4 linked regions of the Stegostoma tigrinum genome follow. The protein of the gene in region 4 purifies or fractionates together with the protein of the main gene of each other region. This does not show direct contact. Links are inferred from orthologs where the notes say so. Each region holds a gene or a part of one and is shown on either strand. Other genes may lie near its edges.

What was found.
Region 1: the proteins of sin3b (region 4) and arid4b purify together in Homo sapiens (affinity purification with mass spectrometry; 3 studies listed by BioGRID and IntAct, with this or other methods). This does not show direct contact. The link is inferred for Stegostoma tigrinum from reciprocal best matches to the Homo sapiens genes SIN3B and ARID4B.
Region 2: the proteins of sin3b (region 4) and gatad1 purify together in Homo sapiens (affinity purification with mass spectrometry; 5 studies listed by BioGRID and IntAct, with this or other methods). This does not show direct contact. The link is inferred for Stegostoma tigrinum from reciprocal best matches to the Homo sapiens genes SIN3B and GATAD1.
Region 3: the proteins of sin3b (region 4) and kdm5a purify together in Homo sapiens (affinity purification with mass spectrometry; 4 studies listed by BioGRID and IntAct, with this or other methods). This does not show direct contact. The link is inferred for Stegostoma tigrinum from reciprocal best matches to the Homo sapiens genes SIN3B and KDM5A.

The regions. Positions count from the first base shown.
Region 1 is NC_081357.1:96,225,308-96,233,061, forward strand, and holds the start of arid4b (AT-rich interactive domain-containing protein 4B), read right to left. Parts: upstream 3,152-7,754; 5' UTR 2,785-3,151; intron 2,608-2,784; exon of another isoform or gene 2,484-2,607; intron 1,905-2,483; 5' UTR 1,848-1,904; coding exon 1,842-1,847; intron 1-1,841. UniProt on the Homo sapiens protein: Acts as a transcriptional repressor. May function in the assembly and/or enzymatic activity of the Sin3A corepressor complex or in mediating interactions between the complex and other regulatory complexes.
Region 2 is NC_081355.1:108,518,806-108,526,948, forward strand, and holds the start of gatad1 (GATA zinc finger domain-containing protein 1), read right to left. Parts: upstream 3,215-8,143; 5' UTR 3,078-3,214; coding exon 2,868-3,077; intron 413-2,867; coding exon 287-412; intron 1-286. UniProt on the Homo sapiens protein: Component of some chromatin complex recruited to chromatin sites methylated 'Lys-4' of histone H3 (H3K4me), with a preference for trimethylated form (H3K4me3).
Region 3 is NC_081371.1:279,314-287,489, forward strand, and holds the start of kdm5a (lysine-specific demethylase 5A), read right to left. Parts: upstream 3,689-8,176; 5' UTR 3,440-3,688; coding exon 3,293-3,439; intron 1-3,292. UniProt on the Homo sapiens protein: Histone demethylase that specifically demethylates 'Lys-4' of histone H3, thereby playing a central role in histone code. Does not demethylate histone H3 'Lys-9', H3 'Lys-27', H3 'Lys-36', H3 'Lys-79' or H4 'Lys-20'.
Region 4 is NC_081383.1:940,310-948,465, reverse strand, and holds the start of sin3b (paired amphipathic helix protein Sin3b), read left to right. Parts: upstream 1-4,536; 5' UTR 4,537-4,634; intron 4,635-8,156.

The sequences.
Region 1 (7,754 bases), on a different chromosome or scaffold from region 4:
TATCTCATTTTTTTGACTACATGTTATTATTAACATAATGTTAAAAAGAACAGTGCAGAGATTATCAAAGGGAAACCCAAAAGCTCAGGACCTTAGCAGGTGAATGTAAAGCCAAAGAGGGGCCACAGCTTTTTCAATAAAAAATTGAGGGTGACCAGAGGGTTGGGGAACTGTTGGAGTTCACAATAATAAGGAAATCCAAGGCCATGCAGGGAGTTGTACACAAGAATGTACATTTCAAAAGCAAGATGTTGTTAGATTAAAAAGTGATGTACATGACTGCAACACAGGAATAAAGGATACACGAGACTCTGGCGCAAGCTGAGAAAACTACATTGCTACTGGTCTTTTTTTGCCCCAGCATGCTGAGGGTATTGAGATTAACAGAAATAAACAGGCTGTAACTCACTATTTGTTGTTGAAGGCAGCATTATTACAATCAGTTAACTCACCAACATGCCCAAAAAACATGGTATTTAGCAACATGAGGTTTGTAACATACACTGTTTTGAATTTGAGGTCAGAAAGTACCCAAAGCCCCATAAGGGTGTTTCAGAGTTTCATGTCAAAGTGTGTCTCAACAAAAGCACGTGAAGTGTACTTGCTGTTGTATGAAATTTGCAGCTAATTTACTCAGAGCAAATCTCACAAATATCTCGATAGCCAGATAACTGGTTTCTTGTACGTGAAATTCGGAGGTGAACACAAAACCTTCAGTACAGTACACTGACCTTCAAGCCGTTCTCACCCCCCTGTCAATTACAGACACCACTCTGGTTGGTCTGTAAGCCACTGCAGTTGTTTCAGTAAAGAGCAATGGACCCCTTCTTCTGGAGAAACCACGGTGGGAGTTTTATCCTCGCCAGAACATCGAATTTCTCGTACTGCATTTGTTTTTAAATGTATGAACATTATCTATTATTTATCCTTCACTGCTTCAGCCATGGACAATTTCTGCGGTAAATTCAATTCAAACCATCATGGATCAATCAACTTGCCTGGTGTATTGACCAGAATTTCCATAAGCCTGACTGGAGAGCTCGAATTTTAGGAAGGTGACACGAGGAATAACTGTTTTTGTCGCTTTACCGCACTGAGTAGAAGTAAACACAAACGCAACAGCCGACTTGACGATCTGATTTTAACAGGACACAATAGCCAAGAACTGCCATTTTTTGCGAAGCTCAGCTAAACCGAAACTAACCTCAAGTAATCGTTTTCAGAATTCAAGCCTCAACCGTTGGATCTGCTCCGGTTCGACTGCTCTTAAAATAAGTTAATTCGAGTAAATTCGAATTGTTCCGTACATGTACTTGGATCGATTGTGAAGCTTTACCTTTCCAAAAAAAACGTTTTGCTGTAGACAATAATATTACGAAGCCGTTTGAAACCAAGCTGTACAAGACTGCAGCTAAAACGCTAACGGTTCTAAACCCTACAAAAAAACCTAGACTAAACGTATCCTTTATTTCAGGGGGAAAAAAAAATCAAGTATTTAAAAACTCTGCGACACTACAAGGTTGCGAACACGAAACACACCGATCTTTGCAATCATTCCATCACAATTAGCAGAGGTTTAGAGAGGTGAGAAGTTAAAGTAATAAAACCGTGTCCACGATATCTTCTGGTCCAGCTGTATGTTGCCGCACCAAATAAGCAGTTTGTATTTGCTGTTGCTTTGTCATGCAGCATACTCCAACTACATGTACTACAGATCTGCAGCGGGGAAAAAATCCGCTGTAACAAGAAGGCGACTTTACTCGACACCCGAAAAGCCTTCATTAAACTGCAACACCGAGCGATTAAGCAATAAAAAACATTTAATTTTATTGTTTTATTACCTTCATGTTGATTCGAAATGTGTCAAATCGCCGACCGAAGCAAAAAAGTCAACCTCCACACACCTAAAGAGGGAAGAAAAGGGGACACACAAAAAAAATGCGTTTGAAAGTGATCGACGTCTCCTTTCAGTGTAGAGCCCCCTCCCCTTTATCATGAATGGCAGCCGAAGCAGTGCCAATACCATATCATCTTTTGCAAGAGGCGACACAATTTCCTTTTTTTCTAAACCTCCTCGCTTGCGTGCATTAATGCCACCCTCATTCGGCAAAAAGGAAAGGTAAATGAATGGCGGCGGATCGAACTGAAACGCTCAAGATCAAGAGGGGCTGTAACGAGCGGTTCAGGGCGATGGAACTGGTGGGTTTCTCCACCTCCTCTCCAAACAACATCTTTCTAGTTGTGTCAATGACGCCATTTCAGCCAGAGATCCCAAAGTTACACATGGACCGCACCGGATCGGTGCCGATAGGCTCAAACACTGCCCGCGAGAGACAGGGCTTGGTGGGAGGAGGTGAGGTGAAGGAGAAGGGGGCAAGGGGAAAAGAAAGCGGGAGAGAGGGGATCCTTCGCAGCGGCCACACGTACACAGCCGGTACACACGCCGAGGTCATGTTTTAAATAAGCAGCCAGGCGCTGTTCACCTCCTTTCTAGACTTCCCCGGCCGGTTTCCATCTCCCAGATACACTTGACACGTCCCGCAGAGAACAGCCAGAACTGCCGAGACACCAGGTCTCCCCCTTCCCTGGCTAAAACCGTTTGGCGGGGGCGGAGAGGGAGGGGGGTCAAAAGACTGAAGAGTGCGAGGTGGTTGGAGGCTCCTCTTTCACCCATCGAAAAGCCTGAGCGAATCCTCATTGTTTAAAATCCAACCAGGAGGGGTTGGGGGGGGGGGGGGGTGGTGCTGCTTAACTTAACCTCCCTTCTCCTTTACAGTCACTCACCCGTCCTGTGTGAAAGCTGCAAGGGCGAGGGGGGCAAAAAATAAGGAAGAAAGCCCTGCCAACCAAACCAGAGTGCGCCTCACAGTCCGGGGCCCCTCGCCCGATGTCCGCCCCGGCTTGACTTCTTCGGCATTCGAGCAACGCTCGACGGGGCGGCCGCTGACGAAAGGCTGAATGCCTCCCCTTCTCTATACACACACAGGCAGACAGAGACAGCGTCACCCTGACTAGAATGCCACAAACCCACCGTTAAATCGCCAGTCTAAAGAGAAAGACACAGATAGAAAGGTAGCGAAGGGGTTGGGGGGGGGGGGGGGGGAACTGAGAGAATGAGAGGAAAAAAACACTCCTCACACACATACAACATTCGACCCCACTCGGCAACAAACAACCCTTCCCATTGGCCCGCCGTCACACGGCAACCGCAGCACTAGCGCCTTCATTGGCCCTCCCTCCGCACTCGGTGCAGTTGTGGCGCCAGGGATGCTGGTTGATGTAGTCCTCAGCCCCGCCCACGTCATCGGGCACGCCAGCTCGGAGAACTACAACTCCCGGTAGGCGTGGTGACACCAGGTCCCGCCTAAAATGGGGGAGGGGGGGAAAAGAAAAACGACCGCATGCGCATTGCACCGAACGGGCGTCTTTAAAAGAGATAACTGCGCAAGCGCGTTGCTATTAGGATGGCGTATTTTTTGATGAGCTAAAGTAAAGGGGAATTGTCTAGGGTGAGTCCGCGCTGGCAGCGGCCGAACTCCAGGAAGGCGTCAGGCAACGGCACGACATTGGGTGCCCGCTACACCCCGTTAACGTTCTTCGGAGGAGCTAGTGCTATTTCGGCGGAATCACGACGTGAGTTTTGTTATTTTGTTTTTCGCGATCGCGAAGTAAATGGTAAAAGGTTGGTGGGGGGGAAATCGAGAGCGGAAGTGGGAGCGCTGTGAGCCGGATGAAGTCGGCGCCCTCCTGGCAGTTGGAGGTGGGTTTGGGTTTTCGAGCTGCGTCATCGCCGTTTCACAGTAAGTCTGTTTGTGTGGCATTGTCTGGTGTCTTTCATATCTTCTGGGCAACTCCAAACGCTTCATAGGCCACGATGTTCTACTGAAGGGTAGTCATTGTAATGTCGGCACTCGTATCGCCTAATTAAATATATAGTACTGCGAGGTCCCACAGTCAAATATGACCATAATCGGCTGGTCCAGCTGCCTTTTGTGGGCTTAGTATGGGACAAATTGGTGGGTGGATGGCACTTCGAAGTCGCCTGGTGGGCTGCCCCATGATGTTGTCCAACGTGATTTTCTTAAAGCTGTTTGCTGGTTTAATTTAGCTAACAGCTTAATGTTTTGTCCAACGATGCCTTCCCTCTGCACAGGTAGAGCTCTTCCTCAGTCCTGAGGGTGAGTTAGTCTATTTTTGTGTGTGATGTCTCTGGAATGGGGGTTCGAACTTGTGGCCTTTGTCCAGTCTTTTTATTGTTTTATCCAGTTAAATTGCTTTCAAGTTGACTGACTTCCAAGCATGACTTTTTGAGCCACTTGAACCCTTGGCTAATTTCATACTTTAAGAACATTTGTTATGAAGGGGAGCTCAAGCCCTGCTGATAATTAAAATTGAAATACAAGGTCCCCAATCTGTTATGGGGTGAGATTCCCTTCTGGTAATTAAACCTGAAACGCCCATAAAAACTGGCCCAATATCTAAAACTGTTAGAGAAGGACAGAGTAAATGAAAGAAAATTGCTGATATTCACTTAAGTAGCAAGTTAGAATCACGAGCAAGTTAGTGGAAAGTCCCACTAATATAAACCTGAGTAATTAGAAAGTAAGTTAAAACTTAAGTCTCTCGAAGTTTCCGTGCTTTCTTCTGGTCCCAAGTCTCTCACACCTTACTTCCACTGATCTGGTTGTCAGGGATGTTTGTTTAGTGAAGCTTTCTGAGAGGGCTCTTAGCTAGGAGTGGATAGATGGTACTTTGTTAGAGAGCTTAGCGATTTCTTTTGAGAGCCCAACGGTTATTTCTCAGATGCCAGTTCATTCTTGCACTGACTTTTCAAAAGCCCTCTTCTTGTATACCTGGGATGATCTATCAATCATCTCACAACAGCATTGGTCTGAAGTTGTCAAAACCATCAGATTTAAAATCAATTGGTTTTTAATTGCTAAGTGATTGCTTGAAATTAATTTGCTGATTCCAGCTGGCTGTCAGTACGTCAATACATCAAAACAAGCCTAAGGTTTCCAATCAATTGATACGTTTCAATTCCAGAATTAAGAGTGCCCCCTTCAGCTGCTTAGACAAATCTTTCGGTGTAAATCCCCAAGCTTAGAAAAACACTTTGTCTCTTGTAGGAGCCATGCACTTTTTGCCCTTATCATTTTTTATCAAACAAAATCTGGCTTCCTGCCTCATTCACGAATATGCAACACAACTTCATTACACGTTCCGTGTAGTTTTTCAATATAAAACATGTTTGTGTTAGAAATCTGATCTTTTGAATACAAGAACATCTGCTCCAGGCTGATCAGTGACCAAAATATTGGTTATTGTATGAACTGGAAAGTTAAGGGTCTATCACTAATTTTAGTGAGAAGGGGAAAGACAGTGAGTCATAACAAGGGCTTTTTCTTTGGATCAGCACGCATGATCTTTGATTTCCTTTACAGCAACACCAGAGTAAACAATGGAATGCTGTATTTTACAGGTTTCCAGTATATTGCTCCTGACTTTTTGTCTAAGACATGAAACCTTCAGAACACCAAAAAAACTTAGGAAAATTTAGTACTGTTTCTCGTATATGCGTACGTTATATTCTTTTTGCTTATAGCAGTGCATGTCATGATTCTGTACCAGCTGAGGATACTGCTTTGCAGGGTGGTCATTGTCTATTGACCTCTAGGAATGATGAACTTTGGTTGTTTTAGTTTATTTGTTGTTTTTTCAGTTTGGCAGACCATGCGGTATCCCTGTCCATATTGAGGATGGGTTGATATCACTGTTGAGTTCCTGCTCAATTCATTAGAGGATGGACTGCGGCTTCAGTGGAAATTAAAATGTGCATTATGTTTGCCATCAGTGTTTCTTTCAAATAAAGAAGCTTGTAAGATAGACAAGATATTTTCAGTCATAATGTAATATTTGTTTCTGAGACAATTAGAATGACTAATTTACATTTCATGTCATGTACTGTTAACCAGAATGGATTGCTTATTGAATGTGATCTTTGTTTTATGTAGACGGTGGGAGACTGTTGATGTCTTTGTAGAAACGTCAGTGTAGTTATTGGTACAAAAGTTCTTGGTGTCTCCTAAATTAGTGATTTGCTGGGTTCAAATAGCAAGGACTGTAACGTTTGCATTGAGATCTGACATTCTGGAAAGCCATTCTATTTTTGAGCTATCTCAATTTTTGGCAAGATGCTTTGTTCAGGGGTATGTTTGGCTCAGGTGTCACATTGTGCTCAATATGAAATTAGTGCTTGTAGTTGACTGCTTGAGAGTTCTTGCCAATTGTAAAGGTGTTCAGGCTCCCTGACTGGAATTAGTAGACCAACCAAAAAGAAAGACAAAATAAGGGCAGGTTTTGTTTGCTGCTTCCATAAAATAACAAAATGCTACACCCTCATGCTATTCTTTATCTGTCTTGTGTAGCAAATATGCCTTTTACATGTGGTGGAAAGTTTGATAATTAAACATGAGAATTAGTTGAATGAAATGAAATCCTCTGGAGAAACTCAGCAAGCCTCATTGCTTTCTCTACAGATACAGAGTTAATATTTCAGTTTCATTGAGCCTTCAGAACTTTGTGCCTGTATCTGACATGTTAACTTTGCTTTTTCTTCACAAGCTGTCAGACCTGCTCAGGTACTGCAGTTTCTATTTCTTCTGTTTTGAAGAAACTGGATTTGGATAACTGATATATGACACTGTTAATGCAAATTCTGGAAACTTCACTGGCACAGCCACCAAAATTTTGGCTTTAAGAATGCCAATGCTAAGTTGAATTTGCTGGTTCCAAGTATGAAGTGTTGAAAATTAATTTTGAGACTGTAACTGGTCTTATCCTAGAGCTGTCATCAAGATTTGCTCTGATTTTTAGAAGCTTCCAGTTGAGGCTGATAATTCAATTGCTTCTTGTTTGAGTTTCAAGATGGGTTTTCCTGCTGACATATTAGCTTCCCAAATTTCATGCCCACAGAATTCTAGACTTCAACAGTTTTGAAGCAATCTTTAAATATGTAGATAGAACACTAGTTTGAAGTTCATTCTATAGCTGTGTATTTTTTAAAATATCCAACACGTTGCAGGAAAAAGGCTATTGTATTCAACAATCTGCAGTGGTTCAAATCACCAGGCATCACTTCATCCTGGCCACAGAACATGATTTCTAAGTGGAGTCAATTAGAGTAAGCACCATGACAGAGCCTATTGCTATGTCTAAAGTATTACTGATTTCAACTTATTAGCTGGTACAACCCTGATCCAAGGACTTATGAACTCTGGACCTGACTACCCCAATGCATTCCTGCAATGCATTTTGTTGGTCTCAATTTTGAGCAGCTGGGGATTCAAATTCCTGTGGAATATCCTAATTCCAATCAAGTGCTCTTCACTTAACAGATGTTTGACCCAGAATGTCTCTTGTTGAAGACAAGCCTCTTGTTTTCAAATACCTCTCAAATGGTGTTGTCATTCCCTGATGTCTAAGCTCCTATGGTTCTACAAGTCTTAAGGATTTGTGCTTTTCTAGTTCTGGTCTGTTGCAATTTAAAATGGAAATTGTTTAGTAATGGCATGAGTTAGCTGCTTTGGGTTGAAGTTGTGGAATTTCTCAGTCTTTTCCTTTTTAGGTTTCAGGAATGACTTGAGAGGATTTTTGTATGTTGGTCAGGAAATGTGATTTTGTTTCAGTCACAGACCAGTGGTCTTAGCTTTGACTGGATTGTATAAGCTACAGACGTTCAATCTCTGACAGTG
Region 2 (8,143 bases), on a different chromosome or scaffold from region 4:
GTTCTAAATTTAATAAGGGATCCATTACTTACCAGAATGCAAAAAAGATTCCCATCAGCAATTCAGGATGGAGATTTACTTTAAAGAACAAAAATAAGGCATCAACAATTAATGAGTCTGCTACACAAGAAAGATCATCTGAAAAACTGAAAATTTGAAAAATTATTTAATAGACAACACTATAATATAAGCTTAGGACCACTGTCTTACCAATTGAAGAAATGTTTTCTTCCCTTCCCCACCTAATCTTAAATATGCCGATGTTGTACTTTTTTAATAGACTTACGTTTTTTAATTTGAATATATGTCTACGCCCCTTTCCTTTTGTAGAAACTTTCTTTTCGGCAGGTGGCATGGACCTATATTTTGTGTTCCGTAACCTTGCAGACCGCCTATGAATTTCTTGCTTTGCCTGTCAAAACAGAAGAGAAAATAAACAAGGACAAACACAGTATCGGCAAAAAATTCATAGTTACTCCAAAATTATTTATGAACAAGGAACAGTATGCTGTCTATCTCCTTGAGCTTGCTCCTTTATTCAATAAGATCACAGGGGTTGAATTTTAATCTCAACTCCACAATCTTGCTTACTCCTGAATTCATTATGGAATAACATAACTTCAACAGAATAATGAACACAGTCCAGTACAATAAATTCATTCTCGAAGTAAAAAGAATACTTGCGGTCACGTAGCGAAAAAGGCATCTCTTAGCGTGAGATAACACGTGTGAAGCTGGACGAACACAGCCGGCCAAGAAGAAGGGTCCCGACCTGAAACTCCTCTGATGCTACTTGGCCTGCTGTGTTCATCCAGCTTCACACCGTGTCATCTCAGATTCTCCAGCATCGGCAGTTCCTACTATCTCTCTTCGTCTGAGTTTATCTGTAGTTATTCAGTGACAGCACGTCATTCGTCTCATTATGCTATTAATACTGAAGAAACACCGACATAGATCAAGTTTATTTTGCTGAAACCACTTCAATAATGGCCTTAGAAAATAAAATATCAAAATGCAGAGACAGTAGGAACTACAGGTTCTGCAGAATCTGAGATAACAAGGTATAAAGCTGGATGAACACAGCAGGCCAAGGGTCTAGGCCCAAAACGTTAGTTTGCCTGCTCCTCTGATGCTACTTGGCCTGCTGTGTTCATTCAGCCCTACACCTTGTTATATCAAAATACGAGATGGCTTTGAAAAGGAAACTAAATGGGGGCATCCATAGAAAGTAAATCTAAAACTATACAAGATATTAATCAGACCAGAGCTGGAACGCTGAATAGTTTTGGGACCCTTTCTGGGATTAACAGATCAGCCAAGATCTCAATGAATGCAGGAACAGACTCTATGGGCAGGACAAGTCATATTACCATAGGACAGAAATCTCTCAATGAGCTAAGCTCATAGAAGTTCCTATAACTTTCACTTCTAGTTGGTATTGAATCAATTCAACCAGAAAGTGGAATACTAAGACTACTCAAACCTGCTGGACTGGATGAAAAATGTATCCAGTTGTTTAGATTGGGAAATCCATGTATGGATGTTTGATAAGAGCCAATCAACCTCAATAATAGGTCTGATGAAAAGATACAAACCTGAAATATTAATCGTGTTTTACCTTCTGCAGATACTGCCAGGTCTACTAAAGTACTGCAAGCATTTTCTGTTTTTACATTGACTAAACAGCCAGTTAATGCTGACCATTAAGGCAGGAATTTCAACAGCATTTGAGGATCACATCTTTCATCCCTGTCCCCAGTTTCTCATAAAAGATAAATATTTCAGGTTCGATTAAGCTCTAACATGTCATTAAACATGATATTATATGTCTTCACACTCTGCTGTGCAAAGGCAAAAACAGTGACTGCCCAGTCCTGATATGACTCCCAGTCTCCCTCTTCTGAAGTTACCCCCACACCCTGGAGTCCATGGAAAAGGAACATGTGGTGTCCACTGAAACAGTCAAGGACTTCTATGGCTGTTGGAAAATGGAGGGGCTCCAATGTATTATTACTTTCTGAAAAGACAACTTAATTTGAGCTTTGAGATAGTAGGAACTGCAAATGCTGGAGAATCTGAGCTAACAAGGTGTAGAGCTGGATGAACACAACAGGCTTAGGCAGCATCAGAGGAGCAGGGAAGCTGATGTTTCAGGTCTGGAAGCTTTGTTAACTTACATTTTGAACCTCCAGTGCCCCTTTTAGGTTTATGAAAGCTTTAATCTGATTTAACCGCCATCTTGACAGAGGGAATGGACAGGGTGAAAAGTTAAGGTTTTACTCCACAGGGTAGGAAAGTCCAAAACTAGAGAGCATTGGTTTAAGATGAGAGGGGAAAGATATAAAAAGGACCTAAGGGGCAAATTTTTCACAATGAGGGTGGTGCAAAGACGGAACGAGCTGCCAGAGGAAGTGATGGAGGTTGGTACAATTACAACATTTAAAAGGCATCTGGACGGATCTGTGAGGGTTGAGAGGGATTATAGTATAAATTCGGACAAGTGGTACTAGATTTATTTAGGATATCTGCTCGGCATCTACGAGTTGGACCGAAGAGTCTGTTTCCGTGCTTTACAGCTCTGATTCTGTTTGATTTAACTGATGAAAGAAGTACTCCTAGTCTCAGGCTGGCGCCTCTTCCCCAGGTCATCCTCTACCCTGGACAGGAATTTGAAACAGCTCAGAGCGGCCTTCTCTTCAGGCTTCTCCCAGCCTCAGAGATAATGGGAACTGCAGATGCTGGAGAATTCCAAGATAATAAAATGTGAGGCTGGATGAACACAGCAGGCCAAGCAGCATCTCAGGAGCACAAAAGCTGACGTTTCGGGCCTAGACCCTTCATCAGAGAGACCCTTCTCCCAGCCTCACCTGTTTGCCGCCTCCGCCACTGCCGCCACCGTTGCTCTGCTGAGCAGCCGGAGCTGATCCGGACCCCGCGGTCAAGCCTGAAACGGAGACGGGTCCGGGGCTTTTGCCAGCGCAGTTGTTGCAGATGATCTCGCCCTGACTGCTCTTCCTCCACATGGCCGAAGAATTGGCCTTGCACACACTGCAGGACGGCTTCAGACCCAACGGCATGTTCTCCGCGTCTCCAGCAACAACCCACACAGACGCGGCCTCCCCTCCCCAGATACAACGGGATCGCCACCGCCCCACCTACTGGTGGGAGGACCGAGTGACCGTGACCGTGACCGCCACCGCCACCGCCCAGAGCCTTCGTACAGGAGGGAGGACCGAGTGCCGGCGCTCCCCTAGCGGCGGGAGGGCCATCTAACTGCGTCCCCCCGCCCCCGAGAGGGAGGAGGCGACCGGGACGCAGTGAAGAACTGGGAAACGCCGCCCCCTTGCCGCGAGAGGATTAAATTCGCATGGAAATGAATCATAGAATTGTTACCGCGCGGACCATTTGGCCCATTGTACCCGCACAGGCTCTTCAAAGTAACATCATTTACTTAGTGCCATCCGCCTGATTTTCGCACATAACCTTTGCAAAGTATTTCTATCCAAATAATCATCCAGTGACTTCTTGAATAGCTCATTCGAACCTACCTCCACCACAGTGGCAGGCGGTGCATTCCAAACCTGAATTTTGGATTGTTACATGTTATTTTTCCAACGTTACAATGATCACTATCTCCTAAATGATCTCCTACTGACACTTGATCCACCTCATTTCCAAGGAGAGTCTAACTCTTTACCAAGGACCAGGTACAACAAAACTCACTCTTTCTTGTTGGACCCAACATTTATCTCCTAAACATGTTGAAAGGGGGGGGGGGCAGATTTTTCTTTAATTACCCAACTCTATGCTAGGAATCTGAAGTCCCTCATAAAAACAACTCATAGAATGGTGGTAATAAAGTGTGGAGCTGGATGAACACAGCAGGCCAAGCAGCATCTTAGGAGCACAAAAGCTGACGTTTCGGGCCTAGACCCTTCATCAGAAAAGGGGGATGGGGAGAGGGTTCTAAAATAAATAGGGAGGTAGGGGGAGGCGGATCGAAGATGGATAGAGGAGAAGATAGGTGGAGAGGAGACAGACAAGTTAAAGGGACAGGGATGGAGCCAGTAGAAGTGAGTATAGGTGGGGAGGGGTTAGGTCAGGTCAGGGAGGATGGACAGGTCAAGGGGGTGCGATGAGTTTAGTAGGTAGGAAATGGGGGTGCGGCTTGAAGTGGGAGCAAAAGATAGGTGAGAGGAAGAACAGGTTAGGGAGGCAGGGACGAGCTGGGCTGGTTTTGTTAGGCAGTTGCGGGGAGGGGAGATTTTGAAGCTTATGAAGTCCACATTGATACCATTGGGCTGCAGGGTTCCCAAGCAGAATATGAGTTGCTGATCCTGCAACCGTCGGGTGACATCATTGTGCCAATACAGGAGGCCCAGGATGGACGTGTCGTCTAAGGAATGGGAGGGGGAGTTGAAATGGTTTGCGACTGGGAGGTGCAGTTGTTTGTTGTGAGCCAAGCGTAGATGTTCTGCAAAACGATTGCCAAACCTCCACATGGTTTCCCCAATGTAGAGGGAGCCATAACGGGTACAGCGGATGCAGTATACCACATTGGCAGATGCGCAGGCTGCACAAGGGATCCAGGGAGAGCTAGCTAATTGTACACAGAATTGGATTAAGAGTAGGAGACAGAGATTGGCAGTAGAGGTAACACAGTGTGGAGCTGGAGGAACACAGCAGGCCAGGCAGCGTCAGAGGAGCAGGAAAGCTGATGTTTTGGGTTAGGATCCTTAGGGGCAGCACGGTGGCTCAGTGGTCGGCACTACAGCCTCACAGCACCAGGGGCCCGGGTTTGATTCCAGCTTCAGGTAACTATGTGTGCGGAGTTTGCACATTCTCCCCGTGTCTGCGTGGGTTTCTTCTGGGTGCTCCGGTTTCCTCCTACAGTCCACAGATGTGCAGGCTAGGTGGATTGGTCATGCTAAATTGCCTGTAGTATTCAGGGGTGCGTGGATTATAGGGGGATAGGTCTGGGTGGGATGTCGCAAGGGGCAGTGTGGACTTGTTGAGCGGAAGGGCCTGTTTCCACACTGTAGGGAATCTATTCTTCAGAAATTCAAAACATCAGCTTTCCTGCTCCCTTGATGCTGCCAGGCCTACTGTGTTCCTCCAGCTCCACACTATTATCTCTGATTCCAGTATCAGCAATTCTCATTATTTCTTGGCAGTAGAGGGTGTTTTTCAGACTGGAGGCCTATGACCAGTGTGCCACAAGCAGTGATGCTGGGTCCACTGTTGTTTGTCATTTGTATTGATGATTTGGAGGGGAATACAACAGGCATAGTTAGTAAATTTGCAGATGACACCAAAATTGGTGGTACAGCAGACAACAAAGATGATTATCCAACAGTACAATGGAACCTTGATCAACTGGGTCAGTGGGCTGAGTTGTCGCAGAAGGAGTTTAATGCAGATAAATGTGAATTGTTGCATTTTGCTCAGTGTTGTTGAACAGAGAGACCAAGGGGTACAGATACATTGTTCCTTGAAGGTGGCATTACAGGTGAACAGGATGATGATGAAGGCAGCATTTTGCACACTTGCCTTCATTGGTCAGAGGACTGAGCGCAGGGATCGGCCGTCATGTCACAACTATAATTCTGGTCGTCCCAGAAAAGGGTGTAGAAAAGATCTACAAGGATGTTGTTTAAACTGAAGGGTTAGAGTTGCAAGGAAAGGCTGGGATTTCTTTTCCTGAAGAGTGGGAGGCTGTGGGGGTGACTTTATAGAGGTTTATAAAATTATGATGGGAATAAATAAAGTGAACAGCCAAAGTCTTTTACCGAGGGTAGGCAAGTTGAAAACTGCAGGGCATAAGTTTAAGGTGAGGGGGGAAAACAAATTTAAAAGGGATCAGAAGGACAACTGTTTCCACACAGATGGTGGTACACATATGGAACGAACTGCCAGAGGAAATGGTAGAGACAGATACAATTACAACATTTAAAAGACATTTGGACAAGTACATGGTTAAGAAAGGCTTAGAGGGATATAGGCCAAACTTTGGCAGATAGGACTAATTCAATTTAGGAAACCTGATCAGCAAGGACGAGATAGGCTGAAGGGCCTGTATCCATGCTGAATACCTCTGATTCCTATTTGTGTACTCATTTGTACGTAACACTGGGTCGAGGTTTATTTGGACTGTTTATTTTGAGGGGAGAGCGATAGAGGTTTTCAAAATCACGAGGGATCTAGACAGAATAGCCACTGAGAAACTGTTCCATGTTGATTACAGGACTGAGAACCAGATGGCACGGATTTTAAGAGATAATGGGGACTGCAGATGCTGGAGAATTCAAAGATAATAAAATGTGAGGCTGGATGAACACAGCAGGCCAAGCAGCATCTCAGGAGCACAAAAGCTGACGTCTCTGATGAAGGGTCTAGGCCCGAAACGTCAGCTTTTGTGCTCCTGAGATGCTGCTTGGCCTGCTGTGTTCATCCAGCCTCACATTGGCACGGATTTTAAACTGGTTTCCAAAAGCAGCAAATATGAGATGAGAAAACGTTTTCAATAGGTAGTTGGTCTGGTCTAGAATGAATTGCATGGAAGCATGGTAGATGTGGGTTCAATGGAGGCATTCAAGAGAACATTGAATTGGAAACAATAATCATCCAATATTCAGGGTAACAGGGAACAGGCAGGTATTTAGCAATGCTTAGAGAGCTGTTGCAGTCACAATGGATTGAGTGGCTTTCTTCTTCACCCTAACATTTCTGTCACAGTCCTGTGGAAGGATCACCGCACCTGAAATGTTAACTCTGTTTTTTCCTTCACCGATGCTGCCAGACCTGCTGAGCTTTTCCAGTAACTTTGTTTTTATTTCTGTCACCGTGTCATGCATTATTCTCTCATCATTTCTCTGTAGCTGCTGAAATGGTGTATCACCTCTCCTTACTACTACAGTTTCATCATCCACAGTGTTGTGCTTTAGTGTTAATTACAATCTGTTCTGCATAAAGTTTATGCTTTAGTGGCATTTGAGTTTTAAATGTTTTGACACTTCATGGTGTTGCAGGATACTGCTACTCAATCTTCCTCAGATAATTTCAAACTGTTACAATGCAAACAGCTCTCAAAAGAACACATCCGCTATCAGGAATTCACCTGGTGTTCCTCAAACAAACTGTTGGTAATACTCATAATTCAGAAAGCATCAATGCGTAATGACAGAGCAATGTTTCAGGTTGACTATCTTTTCTACTGATCTGAACTGTTAACTCAGTTTATCGCTCCAAAGATGCTGCTTGACCTGCTGGAGTATTTTCTAGTACCTAGTTTATGTTTTATATTCCAACCATTTCCACGTTCAGATTTCATATTAATAGTCTACAATACATCTAGCAATTGTCTCAGTGCTCTTGGTGGGAACAGTGTGTACAAATTGGCTGCAGGTTCCTCCAATAAAACTATGATTACATATCAAAAGTACTCAGATGTACATCTTACCTCCCTTCTTCCAAGTTTCATCATACTTTGTTTTGCAATTTCTTTGCCATTTTTATATCTCCCCTTTCATTTCTTTATTAAATTGGGAAAATTGCCACGTTAGGAAATGTGGAATGAAGCAAGGTAAGAGGGAGGAACAGACTGAGAAGAGAAAGTACATTGCAATAGAAGTTAAGAACATCCAAAAGTAGATTGATTATCTGTCTTGACTCCTTTCCCAAACCCCTAATTTCCTCAGCATCCAAAATTCTATTTATTTCAGCCTCAAGTATTCTTTAAGTTTGAACAACCACAGCCACAGATAGACAATTCTAAAGATCCCCAATATTCAGTGTGAAGAAATTTCTCATCTCAACATTAAATGATCAGTTCTTTATCCCAAGGCTAAGACACATGCAGTGCTTGAGATTCCCTAAGCAGGAGAAAACAGCTTTTAATATCTACTCTGTGAACACCTTCAGAATCTTATGTTTCAGTGAGATGACTTCTCTTTGGGAAGCTCTTGTTATGACTAACTATCTAACACTGGGGACAACTGAAGAGCTGCAACTATAACCGCTGTACTTCCCCATTGGGTAGGCAAGGGCTTAGTGGTATTATCGCTGGACTATTAATCCAGAGACCCAGATAATGTTCTGGGGACGTGGGTTTGAATCCTGCCATAGCAGATGGTAGAATTTGAAT
Region 3 (8,176 bases), on a different chromosome or scaffold from region 4:
TCTAAAGGGGAACTAGGGATGAGCAATAAATGCTAGCCCAGTCAAATGTCACCTATATCTCAAATGGAAGAGATGTTCGCCATTTGGCATAATCAAAAAGTTACAAAATCCAAGGACACTAAAGAAAAAGGCACTGTTCCTTGATTTGAAGGCTCAATAACACTAGAAAGGTTGGGGGGGGGGGAAGAAGGAAGAAAGATTTCACAAAGTAACTGGTTTAGAAGGATAAAGGGATCTACAGCTCTGCACCTGAAATCTGGTTAGGACAGAGGCCCTCAATGCCAAATCAACACCTGAAGCACTGCAACCCCAGCCAAAGGGTCAAGCACTAGAAAACAGAACTAGACTGAATGACTTCCTTTCCAGATTATATTCACCCACGTGATGAGTTCAGTCCCCAGACCAGTGGGATGCATTGCTTCACTCAAGGCATGAGCAGGTGAAAAATCAGCTGGGTCTGTTTTACATGGCTTCTTGCTTCAAGTTTCTGATCTACAAAGATAAATCCCAACATCCCACCCCATTTTATAGAGTGGATGAAAAATTAAGACAATAAAAACATTCCCTCAGCTTTACAGGAGGCAAAGTGCAAAAAGTAAAGACATTTAGTTACAAATCACAGGACAACTTGCCAAGGCTTCCTTCAATCCTGCAACTCCAACAGCAGGAAAGAACAGTGCACAAGTCCAATGCTACCAGTCAGTCTCTAAGACACATACTTGTGTCCTGTAAATACAACCAATCTATTTCTGGAACTCCCTGTCTTACAGCACAATACCCTCACCATATCTACTGCAACATTTCAACAAGCCAGCTGATCACCAAAGAAAGTTACAGATGTCAAACACTGAGTTAATAATGCAGACTTCAAGTGATAAAGTAAATAAATAAAGCAGGTCCCTATCATCAACAAATCAAGCCTTCTGCAGGGAAGGGGGGGGGGAAGGTTTAAATTCAATAAAATATCTGGAATTAAGAATCTAAATGATGATCATGAACCCATTGCCAATTGTCAGAAAAAACTAACAGGTTCACTTATGCCATCCTTTCCAGGTCTGGCCAACATGTGACTCCAGACCCACAGCAATGTGGTTGACTCAACTGCCCTTGGGCAATAAGTGCTGCCTGATTAGTGACACCCTCATCCAGTGACTAAATAAAATGAATCAAGGGTTTTTCCAGGAACATCACGAAGGACTTCAGTTTATGTAGAGAAATAAGAAGCTTTGTAGCCTTTGAAGCAGAGTTTAGGGGACAATTTAACTAGGGTGATAAAACTGAGGTTGCATAACAAAGGCTAAACTATTTCCATTTCAATGGCAGCAGTATCAGCAACCAAGATGCCAGGCTTAAAGAATCCCACGTAAGAACCAGTGGAAAGATTTTTTCTTACACCAAATGATGGTAAACTGGAAAGGACTGGTTCTTATTCAGGGGTAGCAGAAAGAAATAACTTTCTAAGACAACTGGATAAACATTAGAAACAGAACAATCAGGGTTAATGATAAAAAAGTGGAATTATTGGGGAGGTGGTAGCCTACTAGTAATATCATTGGGCTGTTAATCCAGAGACCCAGGTAATGTTCCACAGGATTGTTTCAGAGACAGTAGGAACAGCAGAATCCAAGATAACGTAGTTAACTCAGCCACATTAGGGGCATTTAAACAGTCCTTGGATCAGCATATGGATGACAATGGGCTAGTGTAGGGGATGGGCTTGGATTAGTTCACAGGTCAGCACAACACTTAGGGCTGAACGGCCTGTTCTGTGCTGTATTGTTCTATAGAAAGGTGTAGTGCTAGACGAGCACAGCAGGCCACGCAGCATCATAAATTCAGGAAAGCTGATGTTTCAGGCCTAGACACTACTTCAGAAGTGGGGAGGGGGGTTCTGAAATAACTAGGGAGGGGAGGAGGTGGATAGAAGAGAAGATAGGTGGAGAGGAGTCAGACAGGTCAGAGTGGTGGGAATGGAGCCAGTAAAAAAGTGAGTGTAGGTGCAGAGTTAGAGGGGAACTGGGTCAATCCCAGGAGGACAGACAGGTCAAGGGAGCAGGATGAGGTTAGCAGGTAGGAGACGGGGTGGGGGTGGACTCCCACAGCTACCTAGGATACACCTCCTCCCACCCACCTTCCTGCAAAAATGCCATCCCCTATTCCTTCTCTGCAGCAGCTGCTCCCAGGATGAGGCATTCTACTCCCAATCATCTCAGACATCCTCATTTCTCAAGGACCACTTGGGAACCCTGCAATCCAATGGTATCAACGTGGGCTTCACAAGCTTCAAAATCTCCCCTCCACCTACATTATCCCTGCCTCCCTAACTGTCCTTCCTCCCACCTCATATCCTCAGCCAACCCCCTCTGACCTGTGTCCTCCCTGGACTGAGGTGTGTCCTCCCTGGACTGAGGTATCTCCACCCAACCTACACTCACCTTTACTGGCTCCATCCCCACCATTTTGACTAGTGATTTTAGACTAGTCATCTTTCCACCTCTCTTCCTATTTATTTCAGGACCTCCTTCCCCTCTCTCCACCCACCACCCCCCCCCCCCCAACCATTTCCTCAAGGTTCTGGGGGACTGATTAAATCTCACCACAGAAGAAAGTGGAATTTGAAATTTAAAAAATCCAGAATTGCAAATCTAATTGTGACCACAAATCCATTGCAGATTGCCTGATAAACTCATCTCGTTCACTGACATCTTTTAGAGAAGGAAACTATCATCCAGACCCACAATAACGTGGCTGACTCTGATCACTGCTCAATAAAAGTGCTGATGAGAAACCTAAGTGAATAGCAGAAATAGCCAGATTTCCTCCGGGGGTGTTGGCAAAACTGTCAGCTTGAAGAGGTAGACTTGATTAATTTTGTTTAAAAATTGACTCGACCCACGGCTGAGAACTCAAACTCTAGGCAGACGCCCAACACCAGTTTCTCTCCAGATAGACTACACCCGTTCCTGAACCCGCTGCAATCAGGGTTTGATTCCCTGACAACAGAGTGTGAAGCTGGATGAACACAGCAGCCCAAGCAGCATCTCAGGAGCACAAAAGCTGACGTTTCGGGCCTAGACCCCTCGGGGGGGGGGGGGGGGGGGGGGGGTTGTTTTCCTTGTTGTCTGTGAAGAGGAGGCGGCCGCCATTAAGTTGGATCGCGGCCTCCTGGTTCCACATCACGGGGATCTGTCCTTCTACCCCGCCGACGGCCTCTTAAGTGGTTGCAGGCCGAGCGCAGCCCTCCCCCCGAGTTACTGTCGATGCGCGGTGGGAAGACAGGGTTTTTATTTACCTTGGGCGGGCGAATCTTGCAGATGCCGCTCCTCTGAGCGATGGGTCGGATCTTGTTGATGTACCCGAGCGGCTCCCGGAACTCTTCCCGGCTCGGCTCGAATACCGGGCACTCAGGAGGCGGGATGAACTCCGAGAATATCCACATGATGGCGGCAGCAGCGGCAGGCAATCTCCGAGACAAAGGGAGGCCGGGGCTCCGGGCTCCAACCCCGGAGTGGTCCCTCGGCGCCAGACCGCGGCCTGGGCCTTGGCGTCACCCAGGAACGCGGTGACTGCTGCAGCTCAGTGCGAGCCCGGCGCCCGCTGCAGCGACGGGAGCCTCTCACACACAGAGAGAGCAACCTAGGCCCAGTCCCTGAGGATGAGGGCGGGTGGGGGTGAAAGGTCAAAGCAAGCGCGCGACTGTCCTCAGGCGCGCGCACCACTTCCGCTCGCGGGTTGCGAAGCAAGATTTCACACACACTTGTTTTTACAGGGCTCATCGATCCGGTGATTGGCTGTCGCGGCAAAGCAGCTGCAGTATTATTGGATATGGCCCCGCCCCAACGCCCCCGATCAATTACTATTGGTTGTTATTACACGGTCCCACCTTCTGATTGGTTGAGGACCACAGCCTCAGATTCCGAGGACAGCAGGTCACAAGGTCCTCGGCTCCGGAATGAAAACAGAAAATGCTGTAGCTTGTGAGTAGAGAGAGAAACAATGAACAAACCCGAATCCAATCCCTTTTCTTTAGGACTTTACTTTCTGAAGTGTTTATCCAATTTCCTGTCGACAGTTGGTATATAATTTATTCGAACATCCATTCTTACAGCCCTTCGGATTATATATAAAACAGGGCAATCAGTTCCAGTCAAGGCTATCCTTCCCCCTTCAAGTGCTTGTCGAGCTTTCCGTACATCACATCCAATCATTCATTTTAATCTCTTCCCGCGGTACCAAAATCCACATTCTCACCACTTTCTGGATAAAGACTTTTCTGAACTGATGACTTAAATTGATGGTTCCCAGAGTTAACATTTCAAGTCCAGCGACCCTTCTTCAGAACTGTTTGAAGCTGGGAAAAGGTGTCATAAATGCTGAAGACGAAGGGAGGGAGGTGTGTCGGACAAGACTAAGGGCTCTGTCAACCATGGTGATTGGGAATTCTTGGTTAAGGGAAAATGTGAAAATTATGAGGTTCCTCTGCAGAACGTGACATCGTCAGAACAGCCGCAACAGAGTTGGAGAACAGGGCCCTTAGCCCTGTTTAACTCATTTCCAACTCTTCTGGCCTCACCTGTACTCTCTCCTCCCACTAAAAGGGTCTCCTTTCCTCACCCACCAGCGTCTGCAACCAAAGGATCGTAAGCCACCATTTCTGCTACCTCCAGTGGGATGCTACCACCAGACACATATTTGTCTCCTCTCTGTTGTCAGCATTTCACAGGAAATGTTCCCTCTGGGACACTTTGGTTCAGTTTCTATTCCCGACACCTTCCTGCACCCCCACATCTTCCCATACAATGACAGAAGGTACAACACTTGCCCGTTTACTTAGTCTCTCCTCACTATCCAAAGTTCCAGACACACGTTCCAGGTGAAGTAGTGATTTACATGCAATTTACCTAATCTAGTTGCCTGTATTCGCTGCTCACATTGTGGGGAGGTGAAACACAGACTGGGTAAGCACTTTACTGTCTGTAAAAATGACACCAAGCTTCCAGTTGCCTGCCACTTCAACACAGCACCTGTTCCCTGGTCAACATTTCTGTCTCAGGCTCACTGCAGTGTTCCAGCGAGTCTCAGCACAAGCTGGAAGAACAGCAAGTCATTTCCACTTGGGAACCCTGTAGTCTGCAGGAGTCAAATTCAAGAATTTTAGAACCCTGAACACCTCCTTCCAAACTCTTTAACCAATCACACCACAGCCTCTGTCATGACTACAGCTGGATTTCAGCACAGTCAATTAATTTCCCCCATTTGTGGTCCCTATTATCAGATTTTTCTCCTTCATCCATCCCTTTATCTGTCTAAATTTGTTTCTCTCCCTCTGGTCTCTGTCTCCACCTATCTGCTTACTGCCCCATCCCACGCTGTGTCTTCAGCATGTATACCACATTTCCTAGTTACTATCAGCTGTGAAGAAGGGTCACTGGACCCGAAATATTGGTTCTGTTTTCTCTCCACTCATGCTTCCAAAACTGAAATTTCTGCTTTTGTTTCAGATTTTCAGCTGTTCATGTTAATTTATCCATCCATTCTAATTTTATTTTCAGGCACTTGGACCATAGTATTGTACCTTTTTGACTGGGGAAATGATTTTGGTGATAATCCCTGCTGCACATACTTTCAAACAACTTGTTCACATATGTTACTACACATATCTGGAGCAGGTTCAACTTGAACCCAGGCCTTTTAGCCCAGAAGTAGTGACAGTACTACTGTACCACAAGGACCCCTATAAAGTCTTGATGAAGGGTCCCAAACCAAAATGTTGATGTTGCTGTATTAGATTAGATTCCCTACAGTGTGGAAACAGACCCTTCGGCCCAACAAGTCCACACCGCCCCTTGGAGAATCCCACCCAGACCCATTTCCCCCTATAACCCACACACCCGTGAACACTACAGGAAATTTAGCATGGCCGATCCACCTAGACTGCACATCTTTGGACTGGGAGGAAACTGGAGCACCTGGAGGAAACCCGCGCAGACACAGGGAGAATGTACAAACTCCACACAGACAGTCGCCCAAGGCTGGAATCGAACCCAGATCACTGGCGCTGTGAAGCTGCAGTACTAACCACTGAGCCACCGTGCTGCCCTATATCTGAATTGGCCAAGGCCAGGGTACAGCATGGAAAATATAGGCAAGATACAGTGTATGCTGTAAATCTTAAAAAAAAAGAGAGAATGTTGGATAAACTCAACAACTCTGACAGCATCTGTGGAGAAAACGAGAGAATTAACATTCTGAGTCTGGCATGACTTCTTCAGTACAACCGGTTCAAACCTGTGCTTCCCATAATATGATGACCAGAACTGCACATAGTACTCCAGCTGTTGCTGAAATAATATTAAATACAGTTTCAGTACACCTCCTTGCTCTTGTATTCATTAGTTTGGCTAATAAAGGCAAATATTCCATATGCCTTCTTCACCATCTTATCAACCTGCCCAGTTACCTTCAAGGATCAATGGACATCCACAGCAAGATAACTCTGATCCTCCGTACGTCCTATAATCCTACCATTCTCCATGCTTTGCTTTCCAAAATGCATCACCTCACACTTTTCTCGATTAAACTTAACTTGCCACAGTTCAGTCTATCTATATCATTCTGTTGTCTCAGTCTTTCTTCCTTGCTACTTACAACGTTCATCAATTTTCATGTCATCTACAAACATACTGATCATACCTTCTTTGTTCAGGCCTAGATCATTAATGTGCATGGTAGACAGCAAGGGACCCAGCACCAGACCCTGTGATATGCTACTGGACAAAGGTTTCCAGTCACAAAAATACCCTTCAACCAGTATTCTCTGCTTCCTGCCACTAAGCCAGTTTTGGATTCAAATTGCCAAATTCCCCTGGATCCCATGGGCTTGTAGATCGTTAACCGCTCTGACATGAGAGACCTTGCCAAAAGTTACTAAAGCCCATATGGGTAAAGGCAAAGTCACTATAGTCCCATAGGGCTGCTGTGTCTTTAGAGAGAGACAACTGGTGGTGAGTTTAATCTGAAGGTCATGACATTCTGGGAAGGGTGAGCTTGAAAAGAAATGATCTTCATGTTGACCTCAACCAATACAGGAATTGAACCTACATGATTAACGTTCCTGTGCATCACAAACTATGCCATCAACTGAACCCAACCAACTTCATGAAGTCCATGTAGACTGCAACATGGAATTATTTAGTACGTGAACAGGTCCTTCAGCCTATGATATTGTGCCCCATAAGACAACAAATTAAACTAATCCCTTCTGTCTACCTTTTGTCTGTATCCATCCATTTGTTGTTTATCTAAAAGTCCCTTAAATGCCCCTATCATATCTGCCTCAACCACCACACCGAGCAATGCATTCCAAACTTCCAACACACTTTGTGTAAAAAATGTGCCACTCATGTATCCTTTGAACTTCCCCCCTCACCTTAAACGCATGCCCCCTGTATTAGACATTTCAATTCTGGGAAAAAGATTCTGCTTGTCAACACTATCTATGCATCTCTTATTTATAGACTGCTATCAAGTCTCCCCTCAACCTCTGCCACTCCGGAGAAAACAACCCAAGTTTTTCCAGCCTCTCCTGATAACTCAGACCCTTTAATCGAGGCAGGATCCTGGTAAACCTCTTCTGCACCCTGTCCAAAGCCTCCACATCCTTCCTGTAATGTAGCAATCAGAATTGAATGCAATACTCTAAGTGTGGCTTAACCAAAGTATTATAAAGCTGCAATCAGAGATAATGGGAACTGCAGATGCTGGAGAATCCAAGATAACCAGTGTGAAGCTGGATGAACACAGCAGGCCAGGCAGCATCTCAGGAGCACAAAAGCTGACATTTTGGGCCTAGAGCCTTCATCGGAGAGGGTTCTGGAATAAATAGGGAGAGAGGGGGAGGCAGACTGAAGATGGAGAGAAAAGAAGATAGGTGGAGAGGAGAGAAGAGGTGGGGAGGTAGGGAGGGGATAGGACAGTCCAGGGAAGATGGACAGGTCAAGGAGGCGGGATGAGATTAGTAGGTAGGCAATGCAGGTGCGGCTTGAGGTGGGAGGAAGGAATAGGAGAGAGGAAGAACAGGTTAGGGAGGCGGGGACAAGCTGGGCTGGTTTTGGGATGCAGTGGGGGACGGGGAGATCTTGAATCTTATGAAGTCCACATTGATACCATTGGGCTG
Region 4 (8,156 bases):
GTAGATTGCCAGTCAAGTGGGACCTGCTTTGTCCTGGATGGTATTGAGCTTTGAGTGTTGTTAAGCTGCACCCATCCATCAAGTGGGGAGCATTCCACCGCACTCCTGCCTTGTGCCTTGCAGATGGTGGACCTGCTTTGGGGAGTCAGGGCATGAGTTACACTTTATAGGTTGCTTAACCTCTTATGCTTTCTGAAAGTCACTAGTTTAAATAGCTAACCTAGTTCAGTTTCTGGTCAAAGGTAACCCTCAGGCTGTTGATAGTAGCATCAGTGATGGTAACATCATTGAATGTCAAGGGGTGATTGTTAGATTACCTTTTTATTGGAGAAGATCTTTCTGTGGCACTATGCCAGGATATTGTCGAGGCCTGTTTCTGAATTTGAAGAGTTGTGACTGCTGCTGGACATTGTGGAAACATCCCCCACTCCTGACCTTCCTTCCGATGGACGGAGGGTCATTGAAGCAGCTGAAGATGGCTGAGCCTATGACACTACCCTGAGGAACTCTGCAGAGATATTCTGGAGCTGAGATGTCTGACCTCTAGCCACAGCCATCTTCCAAGTATGACTTCAACCAGCAAAAAGATTTTCCCCAGTTCCTATTAATTATACTTTTGCTTAGAGCTTCTTGATGTCACATTCAAACAATCAGTGTGGGAGGCAAGCGAGGAAATTGTAGGAGCATTGATGTCAATTTTAAAAGTTTAGATACAGGAGAGGTGCTGGGGATTGGTAAATAACTGCCATGGTAGGGATAGGCCAGTGAGTCTGACATCAGTTGGGAGAAATTTCTGAGGATAGAATTCTATCTCCATTTGGATGGGGAAAGAATTAATCAGGCATATCGTGGCTTTGTCAGAGGGGAAATTGTCAAATTTGATTGATTCAGCTTGTCACCTCTTGAAAAAAATTTCAATGTAGTGCATTGGATATACTCTAAATAGCAGACTGGGCATAAAAGTAAAAGTCCATTGAATCCAGGCCAATTTTAGCAAATTAGATTCAAAATATTGGTTCAGTGACAGGAAACAGAAGATGACGGTAAAAGTCTCTTGTGACTGAAAGCCTGGGTTCCTTGCTGTTCCTCGTCTACTTGTGTGAATCCTAGATTATTCATGTCCTTATCATTGATTGTACGTTTTACCAGTAAGTTTACACTACACTAAAGTTTAATGATGTGGTAAATAGCAAAGAGGAGAGCCTCTGGTTATAGGACAGTAGTCAGATGGGCGGGACAATGGCAAATAGAATTTAATTCTGAAAATTTGAAGGACTTATAAAGTAAAGGAGTATATGATGAATGGTAGGACCCAAGGAATTATGGAATCCGGGGATTCAGCCACAAAACGACATGACCCACTATCACTCGTATCCTTATATACAGATGAGGAAGGACACCACTTTGATTGGGACAACACATCCATCCTAGGACAAGCCAAACAGAGACATGCACGAGAATTCCTAGAAGCATGGCATTCCAACCGGAACTCCATCAACAAACACATTGGCTTGGAGCCAATCTACCACCCTCTGAGAAAAAGAACAGGAAATTACATCACCAACGCAGGAAATGACATCACCAACCCAAGGAAACCTAAACCGATAAATAGAAAGCGGGACATAACACCAGCGCTTCACTGGAGGCTCACTGATGAGGTTACCTAGAATGGTGACAAAACGTCTGAAAACGAACTTTCCAGCTCAGCGAGCAAACTTACATCCAGAATCAGGGGGACCATAAATGATTGGAGGCAACAGGACAAGTGAATAGTGGTTAAAAGGCTTTTGGGATACTTGCCTTTTATTTTTCAAGGCATAGGGTATAAAAATGAGGAAGTTAAGATGGAGCTATATACAACTGTAGGCCATAGCTGGAATAGTGTGTGCAGTTCTGGCTTGATCGTAATGGTTGAATGGGTGATACGAGTGCTAGGAGGTTGCAGATTGTGCTAGAGTACAATGCTGCTGCTGATGGCCTCCATGGATGACCAGTCTTGAGTTGTTAGATCTGTTGAAGTCATTTAGTCTGGTTATAGTGCCATACAACATGATAGAGAGTGAGGGTGGGACTTCATGCCCACAAGAACTGTGCAGTGGTCACTCTTACTGATGCTGTCATGGGCCAGTGCATCTGCAACCAGCAGCTTGGTCAGGATGAGGTCAAGTCTGTTAGTCTGTTTTTCTTTTTTGATTCCCTCACCACCTGCTGCAGGCCCAGTCTAGCAGCTATGTCCTATAGGACCTGACCAGCCCGATCAGGCTTACTGCTGCTGAGCCACTGTTCATGGTGGGCATTGAAATCCCCCACCCAGAGTACATTTTGGGCACTTGCCATACTCAGTGTTTCCTCTAGGTGTTAACCACCAACATGGAGGAGTACTGATTCATTAGCTTAGGGAGAATGATACATGGTAATCGGCAGGAGGTTTCCTTGCCCATGTTTAACCTGATGCCCTGAGACTTCGGTCTGTCCAGAGTCCATGCTGAGCACTTCCAGGGTGACTCCCTTTCAACTATATACCACTGCTTCCCCCTCTCCTGGCAGGACAGGACATATCCAAGGGACAAGACTCTGTTGGGTTCATAAGGAAGCGTTTTACTTTGTTTCTAGTGCCTTGGTTGGTGGAGGCTGGTCTTTCCAGTTATATTCCTTTATTTAGATACACAACAGCGTCTTCCCAGGCCCTTTCAGAGGACAGGTAGGAGTCAGCCACTTTGCTGTGGGTCTGGAGTTGTGTGGGCAAGACCACTTAAGATCCTTCTCTAAAGGACATTCATCAACCAGGTGGGTTTTTACATCAATCAACAATGGTTGCATGGTCACCATTAGGCCAGCTTTTATTTCAAATTTTATTGAATTCATATTTCACCATTCACCCTGGTGGGATTTGAACCCCTGTTCCCCAGTTTAATGGATTAATCCAGTAAATCAGCTGCCACACCACAGCTTCTCATTGGCATATGGATTATACTCAGTGTGTGTCACTCACTCACTCACTCACTCACTCCTTTCAATGAGATCCTGGTTGGTTTGGCCCATGTTATTTAATTCTTAACTAACTTTTTTGTTAAGCATAAGATTTAAAAGTAACAACTGATCCAGCAGCAAGTGACATTTGTGAAAGTGAGTTCCAAACCCCTCCTACCCTTTGTGTGTAGAAGTACTTCCTAATGTCTCTTCTTAATGGTCTATGCCCCTACTTCTCAAATCTTAGTCAATAGAAATAGTTTATCTTTACCTACCCTGTCTTTTTCTGTTAACATAGTGAAGACTTTGATCAGGCCTTACATGGTATAGTCTGTCATCATAATACAACTCCTGAAGTCCAAGATAACAAAGTGTGAAGCTGGATGAACACAGCAGGCCAAGCAGCATCTCAGGAGCAGTCCAGATATCATTCTTTTAACAGTGACTTCCCAGGATGGGACACTGTACAGGAATCAGAAGCATGTGTTCCTACTTCAGACCGGCTGTAATACTCCTTGCGTGGCCCAGCCTTACCTGCTACAGAGTTGAATTCACACCCAGGTTTAATCTCAGTGAACATTCTACTGGGGTGTTATGGGATTGTAACAGATTTAGTACGGCCAACAGCAGCTCAGGGAATTAAACATAAACTTTGCTTTTTTAAAATTACACCAATTTGATTTTTTTAAAAAAATCTGACATGGTTGCTCAGAGTTGTGTGCTGATTCCTAGTATCACAAAGTAGATAACCATTCAGCCCACTCATATAAGAGGTTTTGCTAACCTGAGTGAGATGACCAGAAGTAGATTTCTGATGTTGCCACCACAATGTCAGCGGTTTCCTGATAAATGGGAATCCGGGGTGACCAGAACAAATCCGTTCATCCACATCACCTCCTGACAGTCCCTTTCCTGAATTCATGAGGCAGCTTCACTCCCTCTGCTTGGGGGCGGTTACAGGAGATAATGTCCCCGCTCAGATCCATCACCAAATGAATATTAATGTGAGAAAGTTTTGCCTTAAAGGGTTTCTGTGGACGTTCTCCCCCGGGACAGTCAGGCTCAGGAAGGCTGGAGTGAGACCTGGAGCATTCTGAGGGATTACTTCATCAAACATCTTCCACATCCGCTTTAAACTGGGAATGGTTTGGTGTTTGTTGGAAGAATCATGAAACACGACAGCACTGGGCATTCAGCCCGCCCAGTGTGGGCTAGCTCTGAGGCAGAGTTACCCCCATCTTCCTAATTTCTTGTTTTTGGTTCATATCTTCATTTAATTTTGTTCCTGAAGCCGCTTTGGAAGTTATTAAATCTGTTAAATTGTTTTTTCTAACCATCTTCAACTGTTTCATCAAACACCTCCCCCTGCAATGCAATATTTACAGCATCGGCCTGCGTTTGGTTCTGAAGCCGGTGGAGGGAAGGGCTAAGCCCGGCTCCTGGTGCACACCCCCAGCATTGAGGGCGCGCGGTCTCGGCCCGGAACCTTCGGGCAGCGTCCAAAGCGGCTGCCCCGGACCTTCTCTGGGAGGCACCGTGGTCTGATTGGTTACGGGCTGGCACAGTCCCAGGGATGGGTTTCACGGACGGACCGGAAACGGGGTGCCGCTGGGGGCGCGGAGCCGGAACCGAGAGGAAGCGCGGAGCCCGGGCTGGAGCCGCGGGTGAGTGGGGTTGGGGGGGGGGGACATGGTGGGGGAATGAGGGGCAGCTTGATATGACGATCAACGATCTCCCCCCCATCCTCCGCCCCCCATCCCCCGCCCCCCATCCTCCGCCCCCCCATCGATCCCCCCCATCCTCCTCCCCCCTCCCTCCATCCCCCCATCCCCTATCCCCACCCACCCCCCCCACCCATCCTCCCCCTCCCCTTCACCTTTCTCCATCTCTCCCCCCACCCTCCCATCTACACCCCTCCATCTCCGATCCCCCCATCTCCTCCCCCCACACCCCACACCCCCTCCCCCCACACCCCCACCCTCGCATCTCCTCCCCCCCCCCACACCCCCACCCTCGCATCTCCTCCCCCCCCCCACACCCCCACCCTCGCATCTCCTCCCCCCCCCCACACCCCCACCCTCGCATCTCCTCCCCCCCCCACACCCCCACCCTCGCATCTCCTGCCCCCCCACACCCCCCACCCTCGCATCTCCCACTGCCCACCCATCTCCTCCCCTTCATGTCAGGGTCCTTCTTACTCATTTGATTCATGTTATTTAAGAAACTGCTGGATTAAATTTCCTTCGCGGGATAATGAGAAAGTTATATTTGTTGGATTGCAGTGAAAAATTTGTTTGCATCATCACAAGCACTAAATCTCCATTGAGTGCAAAGGAACATAATGTATTTCTGTTTGTATTAAAAGGTAGTAGTTGGCAATATTTTGAACTATGCATCAGAAAATTATTAGCTGTCAGAAATATACAGTCTTAGTATTTACCAAGTCTTTTATCAGTGTCTATTCTGATTGTTCATCAAGGAGAATAAATTTTAAGCCCAACAGTCCACACCAGTCAGCTTCTCAGTAAGTGTAATATATTTTGAAATGAAGATATTTGAAATGTATCAACTATGACTAAATAACCAAGTTTGGAGATCTGTTTCTGAGGTGCGTTTGTTAAGATCTGACCATTTCACCCAATGGGTGGGCCAATTTTTGTTGGTGGAGTCTCATCTGGATGAATTTCATTTTAAGTTATGAAAAAAGCTTGTGGTACATATGAATGTATGTGAATTTGCTGTAATTTGCTATGATTTGATTTCCCTGTTTTTTTTGTGCTTGTTGTTAGTGGAGTCCACCTGGTGTCCAGTGATGAATCTCCTGGAGACTTTGCCTGTGTCTGACACTGTGCCTTCAATTTGGTTTCAAATATGATTTTTGAGAATGTTTTTTCAGAAATGTTTCTTGTTTGACAGATGAAGTTAATTTTTTATACAATTTGATGGCTTCCATGCAAATCATTGATGATCTATCTATTTATTAAATTTCACAGTGGCCTGTTTGATCTCCCAGTTATGATGTGGGTGAATGATGCTGTGCTGGGATTTGAACTCTGGATCCCAGAAAGTTATCCGGGTCTCTAGATTAACAGTACAGTGATAATACCATTGGGCCATCACATTCCCTTGTGGCCTCGATTCTACTTTACACAAACCTTAACATCCTGATCAAACAAAAATCAAACTCAACCTTGAATAGATTGAATCAGCCAGGCTCCACTCTTTGTGGATGAGAGAATTCAAAAATGTAATGACCCAGTATAACATAACTGGAAAATGCCTTACTTTGAAACTCTGTTCCCACATTTTCCCCCGTAGACTCCCTACTGTGTGGAAGCAGGCCATTCGACCTATCGACTTCACCAACATGCCAAACAACATCCCTCTCAGTCCCACCGCCACCAATACCTTTGTAACCCTGCATTTTCCCATTGGCTAATCCACCTAACCTACATATCTTTTGACTCTGGGAGGAAAATGGAGCACCTGGAGAAAACTCACCCAGACACAGGGAGAACATGCAAACTCCACACAGGCTGTTGGCTGAGGGTGGTGTTAAACCCAAGTCCCTGGTGCTGTGAGGCCACAGTGCTCACCACTGTGCCACTCTCAAGAGGAAATATTGTCTCAGTATTTACCCTGTGAGGCTGCCTCTCTTACGTTGCATCTGGTTAGCATATTTGAAGTCAAGCCTTGCTATTCCTGGAATTGTCATAAATGTTACAGACTTTGAAAGTAAGCAGAATTATCCGATCTACATGACTAATTGACTCAGGTCTGCAGAAAGCACAGGACCAGGTTCCTGTGCTTAACAAGAATTACTTTATTTGGGTTGGATTGAAGTGTTTTTCCCAGGGACGGGGAATTGAAAACTAGAGGGTATAGGTTTAAGGTGAGAGGGAAAAGAGTTAGGAAGGTCCTGAGGGGCAACCTCTTCTCGCAGAGAGTGGTGCGAATATGGAAGACAACATTTGGATAGGTACTTGGATGGGAAGGGTTTAGCGGGATAGGGACCAAATGTGGGCAATTGGGACTGAGTGGGCACCATGGACCAGTTTGGGCAGAAGGGGCTGTTTCCATGCTGTATTACTCCACTACTCTACTCTACTCCATAAGTAATTACTTTGCTTTATTACTTTATTAGGGGATGCAAAGGCATATGGTATTACTGCTAGAGTATTAATCAAGAAACTTGGCAATGATCTGTGAACCAAGGTTTGTATCCTGTCATGGTAGATGGTGGAATTTGAATTGAATTAAAAATCTGGAATTAAGGGTCTAATGATGACCATTAATCCATTCTCGATTGTCAGGAAAAACCCTCTGGTTTGCTAATGCCCTTCGGGAATGGAATGTGCTGTCCTTACCTGGTCTGGCCTACACGTGACTCCAGACCCACAGCAATGTGGTTGACTCTTAACTGCCCTCTGGGCAATTAGGGATGGGCAGTAAATGCTGGCGAGTGATGTCCACATCCTGTGAGTGAATAAAAAACAATTACAAATTAACAGACTGTAGGTGCAGGTAAACAGTTGTGAGCAGTCAGCATGTGACTCTTCTAGTTAAAACTTTAACCCCTTTATAAACTCCCCCTTAGACCCACCTGGGAAAAAACATGGGTTTTAAGGATGCAGGGAAACAGGGAAAGGAATCTGGAGAAGAATGATCTAGAAGCAACATTCTGATCGGCTAAGAATGATTATTGTGCTGATCAGAATGTTGCTTTTGGATCATTCTTCTCCAGATGCTTCCACTGGTTTACAGGAGGACAGGGTGACAGGTTCATACGTGAAAAAGGTCCTGATACATTAATTAAACATCACCACTTGGAGCAATTTCTGAAGGAAAGATAATATGGCTTTCCTCAAGCTTACAGTGGCTTCTTCAGCGTGCACAGAGAAGTCTTGAGTTATTGGAGGTCTGATGGCTTTTCACATCTTGTTCAAAGTCCTAATCTGTTCACCAACCTGAGAACCAATCACATTTGTTGGCAGGCAGAAGGCACTTTGTCATCAGTAAATGGCCACTGATCAACAGACCAATCAGCAATTTGTTGCAGACTATATCTCCATTTGGACACATTCTTTGGGTTCCTGTTTGAATAAGCATTCGTGTAAATCGTGTTTGTAATGACTATCAGGTTACTTATTAAGACAAAGGTCAAAACCCTTCAGCAGTTTGATGGT